Linked DNA regions of Macaca mulatta. The protein of the gene in region 2 purifies or fractionates together with the protein of the main gene of each other region. This does not show direct contact. Links are inferred from orthologs where the notes say so. Each region holds a gene or a part of one and is shown on either strand. Other genes may lie near its edges.

What was found.
Region 1: the proteins of SNTB2 (region 2) and UTRN purify together in Homo sapiens (affinity purification with mass spectrometry; 4 studies listed by BioGRID and IntAct, with this or other methods). This does not show direct contact. The link is inferred for Macaca mulatta from reciprocal best matches to the Homo sapiens genes SNTB2 and UTRN.
Region 3: the proteins of SNTB2 (region 2) and CASK purify together in Homo sapiens (affinity purification with mass spectrometry; 3 studies listed by BioGRID and IntAct, with this or other methods). This does not show direct contact. The link is inferred for Macaca mulatta from reciprocal best matches to the Homo sapiens genes SNTB2 and CASK.

Annotation. Positions count from the first base shown.
Region 1 is NC_133409.1:49,600,499-49,607,746, forward strand, and holds the start of UTRN (utrophin), read left to right. Parts: upstream 1-2,358; 5' UTR 2,359-2,383; coding exon 2,384-2,477; intron 2,478-7,248.
Region 2 is NC_133425.1:64,914,825-64,921,972, reverse strand, and holds the end of SNTB2 (beta-2-syntrophin), read right to left. Parts: intron 4,763-7,148; coding exon 4,578-4,762; coding exon of another isoform or gene 4,537-4,577; intron 3,477-4,536; coding exon 3,384-3,476; 3' UTR 1,486-3,383; downstream 1-1,485. UniProt on the Homo sapiens protein: Adapter protein that binds to and probably organizes the subcellular localization of a variety of membrane proteins. May link various receptors to the actin cytoskeleton and the dystrophin glycoprotein complex.
Region 3 is NC_133426.1:41,837,622-41,844,869, reverse strand, and holds the start of CASK (peripheral plasma membrane protein CASK), read left to right. Parts: upstream 1-2,861; 5' UTR 2,862-2,903; coding exon 2,904-2,962; intron 2,963-6,561; exon of another isoform or gene 6,562-6,657; intron 6,658-7,248. UniProt on the Homo sapiens protein: Multidomain scaffolding Mg(2+)-independent protein kinase that catalyzes the phosphotransfer from ATP to proteins such as NRXN1, and plays a role in synaptic transmembrane protein anchoring and ion channel trafficking.

The DNA.
Region 1 (7,248 bases), on a different chromosome or scaffold from region 2:
AACTTCTTTCACAGCCTCTTACTGTAGATAGAAATATGAAGTCCAGCAATATTTAGCTGGTGTGAACCCAGACAGCTGTACCAGGAACAATGTTGAAAATCTTTGATTCCTATTGGAAAATAGCCACTGTTAAAGATGCACACCTTCAGGACCTCACTTCAGGATTGTAGCCAGTATCTGTTCTGAGTAGGTGGTGCCCACGCCTCCCTGGCTGTTTTGTGTTTTGAATATTTAGTCCTGATTCTAGAAATGAAGACATTTTTGGCCTATGGATAAAAGACGGGTTTCGATAGCCATTAAGGAAATGCAAATCAAACCACAATGAAATGTCACTTCATACCCAGTAGGATGGCGATAATAAAAAAGACAAATAATAACAAATATTGGTGAGGATGTGGAGAAATGGGTGTCCACATACACTGCTAGTGGGAATGTGAAAGGATGCAGCCACTTTGGAAAGCTGTCTGGCAGTTCTTCCAAAGGTTAAGCATAGGGTTGCCGTATGACTCAGCAGTTCTACTTCTAGGTACACACACACACACACACACACACACACACACACTCACCTCACACCCAAGAGACATGAAAATATATGCCCACATCAAAAACTTGTACACAAATGCTCATAGCAGAATTAACTGGTATTAGCTAAAAGATAAAAACAACCCAAATGTTCATGAACTGATAAACACATAATAAAATGTGGTCTATCGATACAATGGAATATTTTAAAAAGAAATGAAATACCCATACATCCTACAACACGCATGGACTTCAAAAACATCATGCTAAGTGAAATAAGCTAGTCACAAAAAACCATATACTGTACGATTTCTTTTATATGAAATGTACAGAATAGGTAACTCTACAGACTGGAAGTAGATTTCAGTGGTTGCGTTGGGCTAAGGGATGGGGATCGATTGTGGTGATGGTTGTAGAATTCTTTGAAAATACTAAAAATCATTAAGTTATACAGTGTAAATGAGCTAATTGTATAATATATAAATTATATATCAATAAAGTTTGATGCAAAAAGAGATTATTGGGTATTGACTATGTGACATCATCTGTATCACTGCGCTTTTCCTGGTCTCTCTGCCTGTGACAGTCCTAGAAGACAGGTGAAGTCAGCTTGTCCATTTTACAGATTTGGAGACTGAGGCTGAGAGAGAGAGAGACAGAGAAAGAGAGAGAGAGAGAGAGAGTATTTTGCCAGAGTTATACAGCTGCTAGTCTAAGGAAAATGTAGAGATGAAGAGGAGGAGCGAAGGGGAAGTACTGTCAGTTTCTCTTTTCTGTACCACAGTACAGTAGCAGGATGAGAGATGCCTTTGAATTCAAACCTGTGTGTATCCTGACAAAGATACATATTCTATGAAAAGTCTTTGATAATAAGTAGAAAATTTCTATTTCACAACAAGCAAGAAAAAGAATGAGAAAAGGACTAGAAAGTAGATAATGATCATATGAATAATGATTTTCCTTGCTTTTTGCATGTATGTGGAGGACACATGCAGAAGTGACAGCAGGAGTTCGAGACCAGCCTGACCAACATGGTGAGACAATGTCTCTACTAAAAATACAAAAAAAAAAAAAAAAAAGCGCCGGGGTAGTGATAGATGCCTGTAATCCCAGCTACTTGGGAGGCTGAGGCAGGAGAATCACCTGAACCCAGGAGGCGGAGGTTGCAGTGAGCCGAGATCATGCCATTGCACTCCAGCCTGGGTGACAAGAGTGGAAAAAAAAAACTATGATAATAAAGAGAGCAAAGCGACCATAAAAGAGAATAGGCTGGAAAAAATAGTCTAAATGGTGGTCTCTTATCTTATAGCTGCATGTGGTTAGGTTTATTTTTTCCATAATAGCAATTTCTAAGGGTTGAAGAAGAAATCCTTTTGAGTTTTACTTCCCCAAGGTATATATAACTACTACAGTGAAATAATAAGCCCAATTTATTCTTTGAAGTATAGTTAATATGTAACAAAACTCCTAAGGCCAGTTGTATACCCAGGGCAATCACCTTCTAACACCTTTATTTATGTACACAGTGGGTAGGAAGGTGGGTGGAGTGCCCCTTCCCAGCTGACACTGTCAAAACAGGAAGCAAAGTTATAATCTCTGTCACAGGAACATGAATAGAGGCCCTTAGTTGTGACTATTAAAAAAACAAAAAACCTACCTAAGGAGTTTTCACTGACTGCAAAGTGTAACTTCCTGTCTGGTGTTTAGAGGAGGTGGGGTTAGTTAGGTTTAGTCAGATCCTCTCATGAGAAAAATAAAAGCCACAAAAAAAAAAAAGACATCCCAGTGTGCAGTTCGAAGGCTGCTTTTGTTGTCCACTTCCTCCACATCTTTTTCCTTGTCATCTAAGCAGATGTAGGTGATGAGCAGCCCGGCAGCCACCACGTTTCACTGGAAAAAGTGCAGATTGGATTTGCCAGGGCATGTAGCTGTCGAGGCTTGCAAGAGATTACCAGGTAAGTTTGTCAACTTGTGCTACTCCCAGCCAGTGAGGTTTTCATAGGAAGCGCCTCTGAAGACAGGGCTCTCTCGTTCACTTTTGTTAAGTACCAAAGCTTAGGACCAGGCTGGTGACGGGAACAGACAGCCTGTCCTTCCTGCTGCCACATCTGTTGTGGACCCTGAAGAGTAGAGACTAACGCTGTCTGCTTTGCACTTCTCTTCAGGAGGTGATAATTCACTAGAGTTATTAGCCTCTTTGAAAGAAGATTTCCAGGATCCCTACATTTGTGGTAGCAAATGTGCTTCACTTTACCTCCCTGTAGATTTTCAAAATAGCTTACTCTGTGCTGACCGTTTACTGCCGTATAGAGAAGAAGCCTCCTGTGTGGTGTTGAGTATTGGTCGACCTCATCCCATATTGTATTTGATTTACTCTGTTGGCTAAAAAGGCATTTTACTTCTTGAAATATTTAGTTTCAACCTGAGAAAGGGGAGAATAAAACGTTTGTACTTTGGGGGATTGTATAAGCGCTGGGGTTTCTGTTTCAGTGCAGGCTTCTCTATGAGACGTGTATATGCGTAACTTTGTGTAGGGAAAGTGTCATGCACTTTTCTCTCACTGAAGTTTACTTCCGGGGTGACTTAGTTTTTCTGATCAGTTTAGATGTTCATATCTTGTTTAATGTATACATGTGTGTACTGGTTGTATGAACTTTTGGAGAGAAAAATAACCCCAAGTGATGTGTTTTATTTGATTATACACATCATGCATGAATGTTGTCACTATGAAAAACTTTGAGGCTGGTTGGTTTTCTTTTTTAATGTTTTTCTTTCTTGTGGAATTACTCTTTCCCTCTTAATGTTTTCCTTCTTAGCTTCAGCGAATGAGGTGGTAAGGGGTTGTAAGTGTTGTCTCTGTGGAGCAAATTCAAACCAAAATGATTGGAGCAGCTCATATTTTCTTAGTGAATTGGGTGTCTTGAACAAGTGGCATAGAAGATTGGTGTACTACAATTCTCATCATTAGCTGTTACTTCTTTCTTAAATAACCATGTGATCCCAACACAAAATCAAAATACCTCTCAGGGACCTAAATTAAAACTCCATGCGGGCCGGGCATGATGGCTTATACCTGTAATCCAAGCACTTTGGGAGGCTGAGACAGGGGGATCACTTGAGGCCTGGAGTTTGAGACCACCCTGGGCAACATAGGGAGATTCCATCTCTACAAAAAATTAAAAAATCAGTCAGTCATGGTGGCATGTGCCTGTGGTCCCAGCTATTTAGGAGACTGAGGTGGGAGGATAGCTTGAACATAGGAGTTTGAGACTGTGGTGAGCCATGATCATGCCACTGCATTCCAGTCTGGACAACAGAGGGATATCTTGTCTCAAAAGCCTGCATAGGAGCATCTATTGCAGACTTGTGACCTTTCGAAGATTTCCTTTGATTGTTACTAAATCCTCTCTCTTTCCCCGACATTGAGAGTCTCTGTAGTCAGCTAGTCTTCATCAAAGGGTCTTGCTACAAAGGGTCTGGGGTAACCATAGTGTTTGAAATCAGAAGACAACTAGAAGAAAAGTACAAACAAACCTTTAAATAATAAGCAGGCTTTGGCTGGGGGTGATGGCTCATGCCTGTAATCCCAGCACTTTGGGAGGCCAAGGCGGGCGGATCACCTGAGGTCAGGAGTTTTATACCAGCCTGGCCAACATGGTGAAACCTGGTCTCTACTAAAAATACAAAAATTAGTCGGGCGTGGTGGCGGGTGCCTGTAATCCCAGCTACTTGGGAGGCTGAGATGGGAGAATCACTTGAACCTGGGAGGCAGAAGTCGCAGTGAGCAGCGATCGCACCATTGCACTCCAGCCTGGGTGACAGAGTGAAACTCTGTTCAAAAAAAAAAAAAAGCAGGCTTTTAAATGAGTAGCTACAGTGTTAAATATATTTAATTGCTGTGCTGGTTGAGTTCTGGTTCATTTAGATAACGTTCTTTCCTGCTCTATGACCAATCAAAAGGCTTTTTAGGAAAATACCATTTTAAAAAATAAAATGTATTTCAGTGCATGTTATTTTAATAAAAATAGAAAACCAATGTGTACATGATTTCGAATTTCACAAGGGCCTAGATTGTCATCAGTTATTACTGAACTGAATTTTTTTTGTGTGTCCATAGTATAGACTCTTTAGTGATCTTCTTAGAAATAAGGACATTAAATTTAATGTTAAAAATAGTATTTTCAGCCAGGCACAATGGCTCATGCTTGTAATCCCAGCACTTTGGGAGGCTGAGGAGGGCAGATCACCTGAGGTCAGGAGTTCAGGCCAGGAGCCTGACCAATGTAGTGAAACATCGTCTCAACTAAAAATACAAAAATTAACTGGGCGTGGTGCTGGGTGCCTGAAATCCCAGCTACTTGGGAGGCTGAGGCAGGAGAATCGCCGGGACCTGGGAGGCAGAGGTTGCAGTGAGCTGAGATTGAGCCACTGCACTTCAGCCCGGGCAACAGGATGAGACTCTGTTTAAAGAAAAAAAAAGATCTCTATCTGTATCACTATCTCTATCACTCTCTCTAGCTTATCTGTCTGTCTGTCTATCTATCTATCTATCTATCTATCTATCTATCTATCTATCTATCATCTATCTCATCTCTATCTCTATCTCTATCATCTAGCTCTATCATTATTTTCACTACATGTTAACAATAATATCACTGAGATAAACCAAAGTTTTAAGAAAAGCTTGAAAATGTGAAATGAATAATTTGGAGGCATGATTGGACATTTAGGCATCTATGAAGGCCCAGATGACTCATGTCTGGAAATTGCTGCTGCTCAGGAAGCCACTCCTGGGAGCCCTGCTCGTCTTGCCATCCTTCCTGCTTTCTTGCCGGCCGACAGGACTCTGTGTCAGCTGTTTCCTTTTTAGATGGAAGGGTTAAAAGATTTACTACTTGGGTTCCCCATTAGAATGATCAACATGCTGGTGCCCCACAGTCAGAGATCGCGGCTTGATTGGACCGAGGCCCTGCTCTGCAGCTTGTCAAAAGCCAGCCAAGGGTGTCCAGTGTGGAGGGTACAGGGTAATGTATTCGTTCCCCACTAGACTGAAAGCTCCATGGGAGGGACTAGAGGCAGCTTCGTTACTGCTGCCCCCTAGCACCTGAATGTGTGCCTGATGTGCAGGAGAGGCTCAGTAGCTGCTTGTGGAATGAATGAATGAATGAGTTCCTTTGAGTAACAGGAAGTTGGAAGAAGATTGGACAGAGGCTTAGTTATGGTCTTTGCTGGTGTAAGAGAGTGTGCTATGTTATGCTGAACAGTGGTTGTCATCTTGGAAGACACTCTAGGAAATAGTCACAGGGGAACAGGTGGCTGATCTGGGGGAGTGCTGAACAGACCTCTCAGAAGAGACAAGGCAGGTTGAGAACTTTGGGAAAGAGAATTTCATCAGGGGCTGGGGGTGTGTGTGTGTGAATGTGGATGTGAGGCCAGGTGGGGACACTCCTGGGAGAATCTCCTGAACTGTGGCTCATTCTTTTTTTTGAGACAAAGTCTCGCTCTGTTGCGCAGCCTGCAGTGCAGTGACACAGTCTTAGCTCATTGCAGCCTTGACCTCGCAGGCTCAAGTGATCCTTCCGCCTCAGTCTCCCAAGTAACTGGGACTACAGGTATGTGCTCCCATACCTGGCTAATTTTTAATATTTTTTTTTTGTAGAGATGGGATCTCGCCATGTTGCCCAGGCTGGTCTTGAACTCCTGAGCTCAAGCGATCCTCCCCGCTCGGCCTCCCAAAATGCTGGAATTACAGGCCTGAGCCACCATGCCCAGCTGTGACTCACTCTTAAAGGAACTCCAGTCTTTTGTGTTGGAACTCCAGGAAGTTGACGACCACACTCATCTATTCAGTCAGCATTTGCTAGGTGCCTGGCATATGCCCAGCTCTGGGGAGGTATGGGGATATAAAAATGAAGGTGATTTGGTTCTTCCTCTGTGAAGGTTAGAACCCGGAAGGGATGGTGTGTGAAAGTGAATGCTAGGTTTGCTGGTGGCTGAAAGGAAGGAATGTCGTCATCTTTGCCATATGTTAGGGATTGCCTGACCCACCAGTTGACTGTATCCAAATAAAGGAACATAGAATTTGTAGTGATCACAGGGCAGTGATATTTGTCTGGGAAGGTATCTTAGGACTTGTAAATTTTTTGCAGATCTTAATAATTACAGAGAAAATGAGTAGGTGGTTAGGAAGGCCAGGTAACTATAACGTACAGAGGTGAGAGAATGAGAATTGTTAAGTTGGGAGAAAAAGAGTAGAAAGAGTGACATGGTACTGAGCAGTTTTTTGTTTGTTTGTTTGTTTGTTTTTGAGACAGTCTCACTCTGTTGCCCAGGCTGGAGTGCAGTGGTGTGATCTCTGCTCACTGCAACTTCCACCTCCTGGGTTCATGCCATTCTCCTGCCTCAGCCTCCCGAGTAGCTGGGACTACAGGCACCTGTCATCACCTTCGGCCAATTTTTGGTATTTTTTCATAGAGATGGAGTTTCACCATGTTAGCCAGGATGGTCTCGATCTCCTGATCTCGTGATCCGCCCGCCTTGGCCTCCCAAAGTGCTGGGATTACAGGCGTGAGCCATCTTGCCCAGCCCTGAGCAGTTCTTTAAGGGATGGGACTTGGCCCTCAAGATCTGGGTTTCCATTACCGCTGCCATCGGCAGGGTAAGTCACTGAACCCCTGAGAAGGGGACTCCCAACCAGGAGGATCACAGGATCTCCCAACCAGGGAG
Region 2 (7,148 bases):
ATCTAATAAATACTATATGAACATACATTTAAGTATTTCTTCATATAAGACATTAGATACTAATTTCCAGATAATGTTTCATTTGATGACTTCAGGAAAGGACTTACCTTTTTCAGAAAAAGAAAAACTGAATGTTTTTCTTTTATTCCTTTCCTTTTCTTTTTATGGAGAGAAAGGAGAGAAGTTTTAGAAGAAAAGGTGGGAGCCTTTTCATATACCAGCTGGCTGCTCCTAGGCATCTGTGTGGAATGTGGAGAAGCTGTCGAAGCCTCGGGTCTGGGGGCACAGGAAGCAGTCCCTCTGAATGGGGAGCGGACACTATTCTGCAGTTTCCTTTCCATTCCACACACTGGAACCTACCACATCCTCAACAATTTTCTTAATTAAAAATGAAAAAGAAATGAAAAGTGAGCTGGTTCTATAAAAAAGGTAGAATATTGAAAATGCCCATTTTTAGTTATCATTTGGAAATAATTTGCCATATATTTAATTTGGCATCTAAATATAAATACATATTTATCATGGTGTCCCATTCATTAGAGAGCACTTCATTTGTGGATTGAAAATCCCACAAACACATTTGATTGAAGAACAACCTTGGTCATCATGATTGGAGAGCTCTTAAGTATGTAAGACAAGCAGCAAAAGGGCTCTGGTTCTTGGGGCTGCTAATGGACAAAGGAAACCTCCCATTCTTTCATTTCACACCAAGACTCAAAAGATATTATTAAGAACCCTACAGACCTCAGTGCTATACATGTCAGTTTAACCTTGACCAAAATGAGTGAAAATGCACATGCCTTGCCTTTCCTGCTCACACTTTAATTCCACCTATTTTACATCTTCATATAACCAACGAGCAGGGTGGCTCAGAAGCTGCCCTGCAAATCTCAGTGGCTTAGCCTTTCACATTAACACAGAAAACCTCAACCAAATGGCTTTGCTGCTGAAGTCTGTAAAGGCATCATTCAACATCTCATATTAATAATGCTCTCACTGCATAGAGGATTTAAGATTGCCTACCTGAGGGTATTACATATTGAAATTCTGATTCCAGAAATCATTTCTGGACCTTCAAGAGATTTTTTTCCTTCCCTGAAATGAAAATTTATTGTGGGCCAGGTACGGTGGCTCACACCTATAGTCCCAGCACTTTGGGAGGCCAAGGCAGGCGGATCACTTGAGGTTGGGGGTTCAAGACCAGCCTAGCCAACATGGTAAAACCCTGCCTCTACTAAAAATACAAAAATTAGGCGGGTGTGGTGGTGGGCGGCTATAATCCCAGCTACTCAGGAGAATCACTTGAACCTAGGAGGTAGAGGTTGCAGTGAGCCGAGATCATGCCACTGCACTCCAGCCTGGGAGACAGAACGAGACTCCATCTCAAAAAAAAAAGAAAAAAAAGAAAAGAAAATTTATCTGAGATGGAGCCAATCTTAGGTTTATGAATTTTCAAAATATAAAGAGCTTTTGAAAGACATATTCTTGTCTAGATTTTAATTTCCAGTTTTAAGCCGTTCAGATAATTCATTTTTGGAACTTCGACAATTACATGAAGCTGGGGGAAGAACAGGCATGTCTTCCCAACCTCTGCATACTGTTGGTTTCACTGTAATGAGGAAGTGGGGCTGACTTCCGGGTGAAGGAGGACAGTGGAGTTACAATGTTAACCTAGAACTCGCTCTGCTCATGGGTCCTCCCACCGGTCAGGCTGCACTGAAACCAAATAGCTCATTTTGCACACACAGCTGTATTTTTCTCTTCTTTTCTCCCCCTGTGCCTGCCCCATCTGAAGCGACATCCTCCTCCACCCACCACAGCACTCACATTCTTCTATGGCACTCTTGATCGATCAAGCAAACAAGAACTTTCCCTAGACCTTTCTTCAGAGAGCATAAAGAATATCCAAGTCAATATTACCTATTCTTTGAGATCCAGGGACTACGCTAATTTTGACGTTTTATATTGATATTATACCATTTTAAATGTTTGCAGATATATGCCTCCTTCAAAATTAGGAAAAACAAGCTGAGTGTGATTTTCTAACACTACAACATCAGTATTTTTGCTGCTACTGTGTCCTAATGATGACATCTGGCAATGCTTAACCAAAAGGAGGCAGCTGTTCCACAGTCTCATCACCCTGCCCCCTGTAGGGTGTGCTGTGAAGCCAACACTAAGTCTTCCATTAGCAGTTCCTTGTCCATGCCACTGCTGCCACAAAGGGCCAGGCCACAGCTGAGATGCTGCATCCCGTTGTTTTTGGGCAGCCCCAAAACAACTCGACATGACGCTTGTGCGGAAGAGCTGGCTTCACCCACCAAGTCTACTCTGCAAGCAGGCTGGCTCTTCAGGATTTATCTTGCTCAAAGAGATCTGCCTACTAGAAGAGATGCCATTAAGGAAACCCACCTCAAAGACTATTCCTCAAAACTAGGATAGGTGATCTCCTTGAAATGGCAGTGATTTCCAGTTATTCAAATAGTGACTAATAAAGCTCCACTAACCCTAACCAAAGGCACATTTGGTAAGCAATTAAAAAAATGGCTTAACCTAGGAAGAGGATTTTCATTTAAAATAAATCTCACAATATCCTCTGGCTACCACCAAAAATAAAATGGAAAAACCTAAACCAAGCAAAACTTTTCTTTCAAAGCAAAGTGGCTTCCAACTTGCTTTTCAACTCAGTCACCACTAGAAAGGAAGTGAAAGGCAAGGCAAATCAAATTTGCAAGTCCTAAGTCCTAGAGACAGCACTTAAGAGTGGCAAAGCTTGGGATAAGGTGGGAAGTGATGGCCAGGCTGAGATAGAGAGAGAGCCAGGGCAAATGGAACATCCCTTTGGTGATACAACTCAAGGACTTCCTATGGTGGAAGGAGCTAGTGAGGACAGTAAATTCTAAGACATACAACCTATCTGGAATGCTCACGAAGCAACAGGCTGCTGCAAGCTAGCACCCGGGAAGGGACAATTGTTCTGAACAAGAGATCAAGGCTAGGCATAACACAAATCCTACAGGGAGAAGAAAAAGAAAACAATGCTTGGGTATTTGATTATGTCTAAAAAGGAAAACAATGAGCCATTCTTTTTGGCAGGAGAAACAAACCTAATTACTCATAAACCGTATTATGAAACGAAAATAAATCAACAGCTTCATTTTGGAGCCTTTTCGAGTCCTAGAATATCTGGCCAAGGTAGACTGTGAAAGGCAGGCTCTTCTTTAAACACGGTTATGGTTCAGCAGTGATTTGCAGGTCCTTGGGAAGGCACTGTGCTGAAGGAGAGAGCAAAGAGTTTTCTTTTTGTGCTTTTTTTTTTTTTTTTTTTTTGAGGTGGAAATATTTCTTGTGACAGTCAAGGCTCTTTTCTGATTTTTTGTTGCTCATACAAGCAGTCCCATACGAGTGACTTTGGCCGATAAGAATGTGTGCAACACAAATACAATCGGCTTCGGACAAGAGTGCAGGTCCATGGTCTGTGGAGAAAGGACACTAAGTATCACTACCTCACTGCCATATACAGACAACTGAATACATGAAGATGCAAAATAAATTTACTTTTAAGGTAGGTAAAGAATATGCCAGAGCTATGGAAACTCTTGGGAACTTAAAGCCACAGGCAAAAGTGCACTATGGAGTAAGGTTATTCCATGTCATAATACTGGTGTGAGGTTTCACATCCCCAATTAGGAGACAACTGGTGGTGTACTGGGTTCCACCATGCCTGGTAGGAAGATCTAAATAGTAGAGGATTTAAAATCTAAGGCCAGGCGCGGTGGCTCACGCCCGTAATCCCAGCACTTTGGGAGGCCAAGGCAGGCGGATCATGAGGTCAGGAGATCGGGACCATCCTGGCTAACATGGTGAAACCCCATCTCTACTAAAAAAAAAAGAAAAATTAGCCAGGTGTGGTGGCACATGCATGTAATCTCAGCTGCTCAGGAGGCTGAGGCAGGAGAATCACTTGAACCAGGGAGGCAGAGGTTGCAGTGAGCTGAGATGGTGCCACTGCACTCCAGCCTGGGTGACAAAGCGAGACTCCGTCTCAAAAAAAAATAAAAAAGAAAAATGATAACAAAAACCAACATCCAATGTCATCTGGAAAACTGAGAACAGCAGATACAGTGGCTCACATCTGTAATCCCAACACCTCGGGAGGCCAAGATGGGAAGATCACTTGAAGACAGGAGTTCAAGACCATCCTGGGCAGCAAAGCGAGACCTCATCTCTACAAAAAATACAAAAATTGGCCAGGCATGGTGGCACACGCCTATAGTCCAGTTCCAGTTACTCAGGAGGCTGAGGCAGGAGGATCACTTCAGCCCAGGAGGTATAGGCTGCAGGGAGCTATGATCGCACCACTACACTCCAGCCTGGGCGACACAGACCCCATCTTAAAAAAAAAAAAAATTTAATTAAAAATTTCATGGTTCTAAATGGAATGTCAGTCCATGATTTTGTATATAAGGGGTAAGAAGTAATGAGAAGGAAAGAGAACATCTATTAGAAAAAAATGTGTTTCAGAAACACTCCTACCAGTTCTCCCTCGGGACCACCAAAATCAGAAACACTCTTACCAGTTCTCCCTCGGGACCACCAAAATCCAAGTATAGATTTCGGATGCCATCATCCGCAGACATCTTCAGCCTTTCAAAGGGGTAGCGGTATAATATGCTGCTGGAGCCTCCGTTTTCCCTGGAGATGGTGAACCCATTTTCATAGTGAATAGTAAGCCTCACCTCTTGGCCATTTAACATGCAGCCTGTTGGAGAAAAGCAAAAAATATTAGTCGTAAAGTTGTTATGCCAGTTATCAAGTGAAACGGGATTCTTCTGACTTCAAAATAGGAAAAATATTTTCTTGAGAATGTGTGATACCGAACCTATATGGAACCTTCTAAAGTGTGTTTTGTTTTGGTGACTGAGATGAGGCAGAAATGACCATAACACTCCTTGACATCTGATTCAGTTTAATTCCATGAGTACCCACTGAACACTCATAGTGGCAAGTGTGTGTAGGCTGTGCAGGGCACTGGAGAAGCAAGAGAGGCACAGTCCCTGCTCTCAAGGACTTTGTAAACGCATTAGCATAAACAGGAAATCCCCAGCTGTGTAAGGCAGAATGTACAGAACATGAGCAAACACCAAACTGAATGAGGCCAAAGTCAAGAAAAGGTTTCCTGGAGGAGCTGGGCCTTCAGATAGGCCCTAAAGAACTGGTAAAACTGGCCGGGTACGATGGCTCACAGCTGTAATCCCAGCACTTTGGGAGGTCGAGGTGGGTGGATCACTTGAGGTCAGGAGTTCGAGACCAGCCTGGCCAACAAGGCAAAATCCCATCTCTACTAAAAATAAAAAATTAGCCAGGCGTGGTGGCACATGCCTGTAATCCCAGCTACTCAGGAGGCTGAGGCAGGATAACTTCTTGCACCCAGGAGGCAGAGGTTGCAGTGAGACAAAATCACACCACTGCACTCCAGCCTGGGTGACAATAGCAAGACTCTGTCTCAAAAAAAAAGGTAAAACTGGACAGGCAGGGAGGAACAGGCAGAAGGACTGAACTGGGCGAGAAGGAACAACCAAAGGACCAAAGGCAGAGAGGCCTTTCAGGAGCTGTGACATGGTTTGGTTGGCATTTGGGATGAAGATAAAGATTACGTTCATCCAAGTTAAAGGCTATACTCAGCAAAAGTCACAGATTCAATGCTATCAAAGATACAATTCAAAGGATACCTCTGAATTGACAGGATACAAACAATTTTGGTCATCAAGACCGGCAAATACCCCAGGTGTGGAGGCTCATGCCTATAATCCCAGCACTCTGGGAGGCTGAGGCAGGAGGATCACTTGAGGCCAGGTGCGCTAGAGACCAGCCTGGGTAACATGACAAGATCTCATTTCTACTAAAAATAAAAAATGTATCACGGCATGGTGGTGTGTACCTATAGTCCCAGCTACTCGGAAGGCTTGGGTGGGAGGATCACTTGCATCCAGGAGTTCAAGGTTGCAGTGAGCTATGATCACGCCACTGCACTTTAGCCTGGGTGACAGAGCAATGTCTAAACAATTTTAAAAAGAGAGTTTAGAAGTCCTTTTTTGTTTTGAGATGGAATCTCCTTTTGTTACCCAGGCTGGGGTGCAGTGGCGTGATCTTGGCTCATTGCAGCCTCAGTTTCCTGGGCTCAAGCAATTCTTCTGCCTCAGCCTGCTGAGTAGCTGGGATTACAGACGCACACCACCACGCCCGGCTAATTTTTTTGCATTTTTAGTAGAGACAGGGTTTCACCATGTTGGACAGGTTGGTCTTGAACTCCTGACTGCAAGTGATCCACCCACCTCGGTCTCCCAAAGTGTGGGGATTATAGGCATAAGCCATCGCACATGTTTTTTTTTTGTTTTTTGTTTTTTTTTTTGGAGACAGTCTCGCTCTGTAGCCCAGGCTGGAGTGCAGTGACATGATCTTGGCTCACTGCAACCTCTGCCTCCCAGGTTGAAGCGATTCTCCTGCCTCAACCTCCTGAGTAGCTGGGATTACAGGAGTGTGCCACCACACCTGGCTAATTTATGTATTTTAAGTAGAGATGGGGTTTCACCATGTTGGTCAGGCTGGTCTCGAACTCCTGACCTTGTGATCCACCCACCTCAGCCTCCCAAAGTGCTGGGATTACAGGTGTGAGACACTGTGCCCGGCCCCCCACCCCCCGTTTTTTTTTTTTAGACAGAATCTTGCTGTGTCACCCAGACTGGAGTGCACTGGCACAATCTCAGCTGACTGCAACCTCTGCCTCCCAGGTTCAAGCAATTCCGGTGCCTTAGCCTCCTGAGTAGCTGGGATTACAGGCGGGCACCACCACACCCAGCTAATTCTTTGTATTTTTTAGTTGAGACAGGGTTTTGCCATGTTGCCCAGGCTGGTCTCGAACTCCTGAGCTCAGGCAATCCACCTGCCTGGGTCTCCCAAAGTGCTGGGATTACAGGTGTGAGCCACTGTGCCTGGCCTGAGAGGGTTTTTTTGTTTGTGTTTTTTTTGAGATAAGTGTCTCACTCTATCATCCAGGCTGGAGTGCAATGGCGCAACCTCGGCTCCTTGCAACCTCCACCTCCTGGGTTCAAACGATTCTTATGCCTCAGCCTCCCGAGTAGCTGGGA
Region 3 (7,248 bases), on a different chromosome or scaffold from region 2:
TGCACACACTTTAACATTTTCTTTGTGGAAACGAAAACAGAACCAAATTATTGACACCTGACTCACTAATACATGGGCTTAGTTGTTGGAACAGTGTTGGATTTTTGGAAGACATTCAGAGAAAAATTAATTTAAAAGGTTTGGTTATTTTAGTCCCCAAGGCAGAGAGGATCTACCTCTAGCCATCATACATGGTACAACTTCTGAGGGATGTGTATTGCAGAGAATTTCTGTATGACTAAATATCACACTGGGAACTGGGAGATCTAAGTACAGATTAGGAAAAGAAGTCCTGAGCTTTGTGCTGATTGGCAGACCTCGAACCACTCAAAGCTTGTGGCCAGGGAGTGCCAAGAGCTGATTAAATTAGGCTTATGGCTGTAGGAAGGGGGCTGGATGTGTTAGTTTAATTAATCAGAGCCCACCTCTCCAGTTAAGATGGTTACAATCTCACCTCAAGCTCAGAGCTGCTACCCTATGGTGGGGGAGAGGGGTGGGATGGTTTTTGGGAGAGCAACCACCGCATTCTTCCATCTGTAAATGAGGGAGGCTCTTTCCAGATCCAAACCAACTGTGATCCCATGAGCAGAGCGCTTACTTATTTTTGCAATCGTCTCTCTCTTTTATTCACCTGCACTTTCTTTTCTGTTTTACTTTATAATTGTCCTTTTCTACCTCGGAGCATAGGTCCCTGTGGAAGATAAGAAACCCCAAAATGAAGTCGACAAGTGTTGGTATAGCTCAGTCTTGGGCTGGGGAAAAGAAGTGAAGCTGACAAGGTGACTTGAGAGGGTCCTTGTGCACTTCAGGGCAGAATGGAGTGACGCCTTATTCATTAGACATGAGCTGGACATGCCAACTTGTGGTGAGTTACTCTTGGACCCTTAAAGGAGGCAATGTTTCTCAAGTTCTAAAGCCCCCATCTCTAGAGAATGCACAAGCTCTTTGAGAAAGGAGGAAAACCGTGTGCAATTACACTTGTCCTCTGGTCTGCTTTTTTTTTTTTTTTTTTTTTAAAGGTTTAGTACCCAAATCCTTAGCAGGCAAATCTCTCAGCCTTTTGAGGGAGTGGTCAAGGGTTTGCACGAAACGTTTCTGAAGAGAAAATAGGCTGTGAGTCTCCACATCACCCCCTCCACTTTGGTATTAATAAATACTTTTTTAAAAAAATTACCACACTGAGAAATTTACCAGACGATTTCTGGAAACTGACTTATGAACTAATTGGGCACTTTTGCTATGCGGAGGAACAAAGACTCTATTGGTCTTCAACTGAGGCATATACCTGTCTGATGGCGTTGGCTCATTCCGCACATGCTCAGTTGAACAGAAATCTTCATATTGAATGCAACCTAGCACAGCGGCAACACCCAGAACCTCACTCCCTGGCTGCTCCTGTGCCTGCACTGCCTCTAGTTGCATTTTGTTCCTGACAAGTCTAACATGTATAGGGAGTATACAGAGCAGTGTAGGTGCTGGGAGTTTGAGGGCAATATACAAAGGAGCTTAAAGTCGCGGTTTGTCCCTGTCTTCCTGGCTTCTCTCTAGGTTGGTCTCTAGTGAGGGTAGGCGCTGGATAGGTATTTGTTGAGTTTGGGGCAGAACGTGGGAGAAGCTGTCTCTATAGATGACCGTTTGCTGTCGCACACCTTCCTAGGCAGTTTTTGTTTAGTCCTTTTCTCGGACGACCTCCCCTTGCCCCCAGCCCTCATCTTCATTAAGGAATGACAGGGTAGCACTAAAAGCATCCGCTGCCAAGCACGGATTCAGTGACAACCTCTCTCCACCTCTCTTTTAGCTTTCTCATTCATTAGCACCCTATCCCTGCCTCTTTTCCCAGCAAAAAGCTGGGAAAGGCTCCCTGCGATTACAAAAGAAGGAAAGGGGAGCGGCCAGAGTTTCGAGCCTCTTGCGGGACAACGAGCGTACAGCCGTGGACCTTTTGTCTCCAGCCCCTTTCGCGGCTTGGTCGCCGCTAGGCGCGGAGGCGACGACCCCAACCAGCCCCGCCTCGGCAGCTGCAGCCGGCGCGCCCCGCTCAACCCCCCGCGCCCTCTAGAATCCCGGTGCCCGCCCGTTTGCCGTGACGCGGCCCGCGCCGCGCGCATGCGCCGCTCAGCCCGCTCCCCTTTCCCTGGGCCACCGCCTCCCGACGGGCTAGAGTGGGCGGAGTCTGTGGTTCTGGAAGCCGCGCCGCCGACGGGGGAGGAGGGCGTGTCTGCGCGAGGCGGGTGCGCGGGGCTGGCTAGCCGGTCGGCTGCTGAGGCGGAGGGGCGGAGCAGAAGGCGGCGGCCGCGGCTCCCGCCCGCACAGAGCGCCAGTCCCGCGAAGCCCCCTCCCACTCCCGGGCGGGCGGTGGCGGCTGCGGGAGGAGGAGAAGTAGGAGGGAGCGTCTCTGCCACCGCCTCCTGGTCCCCAGCGCCGATCCGCCGCCGCCACCTCCCTCCGCGGCGATCCTCCCTCCATGGTCCTGCCGCGGCCCCCTCTATAGCCCGAGCTGCTCCGCGACGCGACGGAGCCGGCCTCGGACAGAGGGAGCGGTCGCGGCCTCGCGGCCCGCGCGGGCTGACGAGCGGAGAGCGCGACGCCGCGCGGTCCCCGAGGATCCGCACGCCGGGCAGCGCGGCCCGAGCAGCGCGAGGAGCAGCGGGCGGGCGGGCGGCGCCGGGCCCGGGCCGCCCTCGCTCCCACGCCCCGGCCCCGCCGCCCGCGCCGGGGCGGTCGCCTGCAGAGGAAGGCGCCGCAGTCTCTGGGCCTCGCGGCACCACTCGAGCGTCCTCGGCACCGAGGGCTCGCGGGTCCTGAGGGGAGGAGGCGATCCCGGGGCTGGGCACTGAGCTCTTGGGCGCCCCCACCCCCGTTTTCGAAGCCCTCCACGCTGCGGCCGCTATCCCCTCCGGACCATGGCCGACGACGACGTGCTGTTCGAGGATGTGTACGAGCTGTGCGAGGTGATCGGAAAGTGAGTCTCCACGCGAGGGAGCGGGAGTGTGGAAAAATGCATTTCAGTGATGCCCCGGTCTTCCCGCACCCGCTCCGGGCCTGCCCCCTGCCCTCTCTCCTTCCCCTCTTCCCCTCTTCCCCTCTCGTCCTTCTCATCTTGGAGTATTTATAGACGTGTACCTGGAGCTCCTGCCAGGCGGGGGCCTGGGGGTTCTCAGCGGTCCATTGAGGCCACCGAGCCGAGGCTGGCCACCCCGTAAGGCGTGGGGCCGGCTGCCTGCATTTTATCTGACGGTTGCACAGGGACGTGGCACAGCCGATTTTATAGTTGCTTCAGTTGGGGTTTTTGTTACCTTGCATGTGCCATAGACCATTTTTGAAAAGAGCAGCTTGCATTTCCTTTGCTTGTGTGGTGAGAGAGAGAGTGAGTCCAGGGTTTTAATTGTGGGGTGTGTGTCTATTGTGCGGGATATTAGACAGATGCCTTTGTGTACACCCCATGCCCGGATTGGAGGGGATCATTTAAGACCGGGTGCGTTCAGTTTCAGCACATTCCCTCCTGGTGTACATGAACGTGGAAAGAGTTGGGGGCATTCGAATTTTTAATGCTTCGTTATGCAATGACTGTTCAATCAGTGCTCGAGGCTCCCCTCGACTGTTGTTGGGATGGTGGTTAGCGTGGTAGAGCCGTCTGCTTTGAGTCACCGGGCTGGTCTAGAATATAGAACTGACAGTCCAAATGCTCATCCTTTCATCTGTGTTGTATAATTACGCTGGGGAAAAGCAGGGAATCAGATTAATCACAGTGCTGATTGAGAATTAAATCTGCAGTTCCTCATCTAATTGTCCATTCCTTAAATCTATTTTGAATAGTTTCCTTTTCATTCTTGTCAAACAGTATTCCAAGTGCACAATCCTGCTAATTTGCTTGTGAAGGAAATGCTGGCAATCTGAAGTTGATTTCCTAACACAGCGTGTATTCTGTGGCTTTAGAAGTTGAGGAGATAAGATTTAAGAGCAAATTTTTGCTTAATAAGGATCGCTAGAGCTACCATTGAAATATCTTACCTCTTTTTTTTTTTTTTTTTTTTGGAAGCGGTGCTTTATTGTCTATTTTAAGGTCCACAGTTGGGAAATGAAACCAAGACCTTAGAGCAGTTGGCCCTATCTCTTTTAAGTTGTCTGCAGTACACGATTTCAATTTGAGTGCTAATTTGTTTCCTTTTCTTTCCATATTGAGGTATTACAGTGTTGCCTCACATGGTGAAATTGTGGGTAGAGCTTGCTACACACTTTACTCAGACCCAATTGATATGAGGACATGTTACTCCTTGCCCTATTGTTACATGACCAGCCAGACTGTTAAAAGGAAAGTATCCAAATGTGTCCTGTTAAAGTGGTTGTGAAGTGTTCTAGAACAGCACTGTCCAAAAGATATATTATGAGCCACATTTGTAATTTAAAATTTTCTAGTAGCCACATTTAATAAAAACATACAGGTGCAATTAATTTTACTAAAATATTTTATTTAACCCTGTAGATCCAAACTTAACACTTAAACATGTAATCAGTATGAAAAAATATTAATGAAGTATTTTACATCTTTTATGCTAAGTCTTTGAAATCCCAATGTGTATTTTACACTAACAGCACATCTCAATTCTGACACTAAGCTACATTTCTGATAAAAATCAGAAATACTTAATCTGTATTTAGGTTTCATAAAATGTGCATTTACAAAAGTAGATTCACATACCCAAGTTACCCAATATACATACCCAATATACATAAAAGTTTTCCAATAACTGAATCAAGTACGTTTTTCTAAATTTAAATTTTAATTAATTAAAATTAAATAAAATTCAAAATTCAGTTTCCCAGTTGGACCAGCCACGTTTCAGGTGCCTAGTAGCCACATGTGAATAGCACAGTTCTAGAGAGAAAAATGTATCAAAAATCTCCTTGGTTTCCTCATTCTTAGCAGCACCCAGTGAAGATAAATTAGGTGTTTCCCAAGAGCCTCCAAATGACCGTATGTGTGGGTGAATTACGTTTGTTGCATCTTAGTTATAGCTGATGTAAACGAACTAACAAAGTCATAATTGGAAAATGTGAGATTAAAATGTTAATTATATTGTGAAGATGGAAAATAGCCATCACTGAATCAGTTTTGGTAACCAGTTCTGATTCCTTAAGGTCTGGAAGGGCGATGATGTGATCTCTTTGGATATCAAAAAGAAATGGTCAGAATCACATTAACACAGTCAGTATTCCGCTGATTTGTAATTGATAGAATATTTTCAGGAAACACCCCTGGGAGAAGAAAATTCATCTTTTCTGGCTGTTTCAGAGCTGCATAAAGAGGGGCAGCAAGCTAATTTTGAGGTGATAGGTACTCTGTGGCTACCTTAACTACTATGAACTGTGAAATCTCATTCATATTTGAAACCAATTCAAATATGTGCCAATTATAAAATGCCATTACGTGAAATAATGAATTCAAGCTAGCCTTATTGTTAAATAATGTAATAATAGTGTTCCTCAACCTGAGTAAAGGTTGAAGGTTTCTCCAGTAAATTGCCTTAGTATATATTGATCTGGAAATTGAAATTAGCTTGAGATTTTCTTGCAGGGACCTTGACAGCATACATTTTTAACTTAGAATTTGTTCACCTCTGAATTTGAACAGAAAGCCCTTGAAGATGTTCGCATGTGCTGAAAACCTTTTTATTGATTTCTATTCAAGTTCTATGGAATTTTGTTTTCTTTTTCACCAAATTAGTATCACAAGTTGTTTTTCACCACTAGATCTTAATAGGTTTAAATTTTTACTAAGGTACTTTAAAATAGATTTCACTTTTCAAGACTAATTGACCTCCCACTCACTCCTCTACCTACGCAACCACCTACTCACTTACCTCTGTGTACTTGGCCTTAATTGATGGCATAAATGAAAGTTCTCGTCTAATTTAGACCCTTCAGTGTGCTTTTTTTTCCCGTTGGTTGAGAAAGACAACTTCTAGAGTTAATGAGGTTTTGAAATATAAGATCATTATTTGGAATATGTTTTCTTTCCAGTGGCTGCAGCCTTTACCCTTGTTAAAGCTGTCTTTGAGGGAACATGTGCCCAATTTGTTACAAATATTGGAAGGATGTCGTTTCCCTTTTTAAAAATTAAAACTCTTTTCCCTGTGTTTCTCATTTTTGAAAATCTTGCAGAAACTCCTTTGAATGCTTGTTGGTTCTATAACATTTTCTACGTAACTATCTTTCAAATGACTGAAACAAATCTCCAATAATACGACCTTATCGTAGTCCCAAAACTTCTTGTCTTAGCAAATGTAGCAATTACTGGAAAGGAAAGGCGTTATGCAAATAAGGTTAATGACTAATTTTTATGTCATGATCATTTACTGTATCTTTTACAAGTATAAGTAAGTGTACAACCGGTAATACTACATGAAGGAAATTTAAGACAATTCATCCAAATTAAAACATAGAAAAATGCCTACTTTCTTGGTACAGCAGTGTCTATGAAAGAGAATAACAAAATACACACCATTTTTACCTTGTGTTGGTACCTTTGCCGTATTATTTAGTAACCTGTAGCTTCTGACTTTCCTGCTCTGATAGGACATACACTAAAATTGGAATGATGCAGCATGACCCTTGCTTAAGGATGACATGCAACTGTGTGAGGCATGCTGTATTTGCTTACACCTCGAGAGCACTTATATTTAATTACAGTTACTTATTTATGGATCTCTCTAGTTCACTAATAAGGAGCTTCTTGAGGGCAGGGAATGTTTCTTACACATCTTTCCCCATTAACACAGTGCTTGCAATGTAACAGCCTTTCATTAGCTGTGGAATGAATTGAGTAGTTTTAATAAAATCTCATTAAAAGGCAAAAAAGCATGTTTATCAACCTCAGAGCAATTATTGTCCCAAGAACCTGCATTAAAGTAGTGGTTCTCCACCTGGCTGCATATTAGAATCATCAGGGGAGCTTTTAAGAAAGATCAATGCCAGAGCCCTGTGTCAAAGCAGTGAAATCCGAGTTTCTGGGAGTGGGTCCTGGTCACTGATATTTTTTAAAGCTCTCTGTGTGATTCTAATGTGCAGCTCTGATGGGGAGTCATTGGCTTAAAACTTAGATTATGTATGTAATATTTTGGGATTGGCTTTTCAGAGGCTTGCAATTCTTACAAAGTGGAATAAACTCTTTTTGGAAGGTATCGAATGAAGCTAAATGGCTAAAACATGGATTTTATCTTCTATGCACTTGTGTTTCTCAGCCTTATT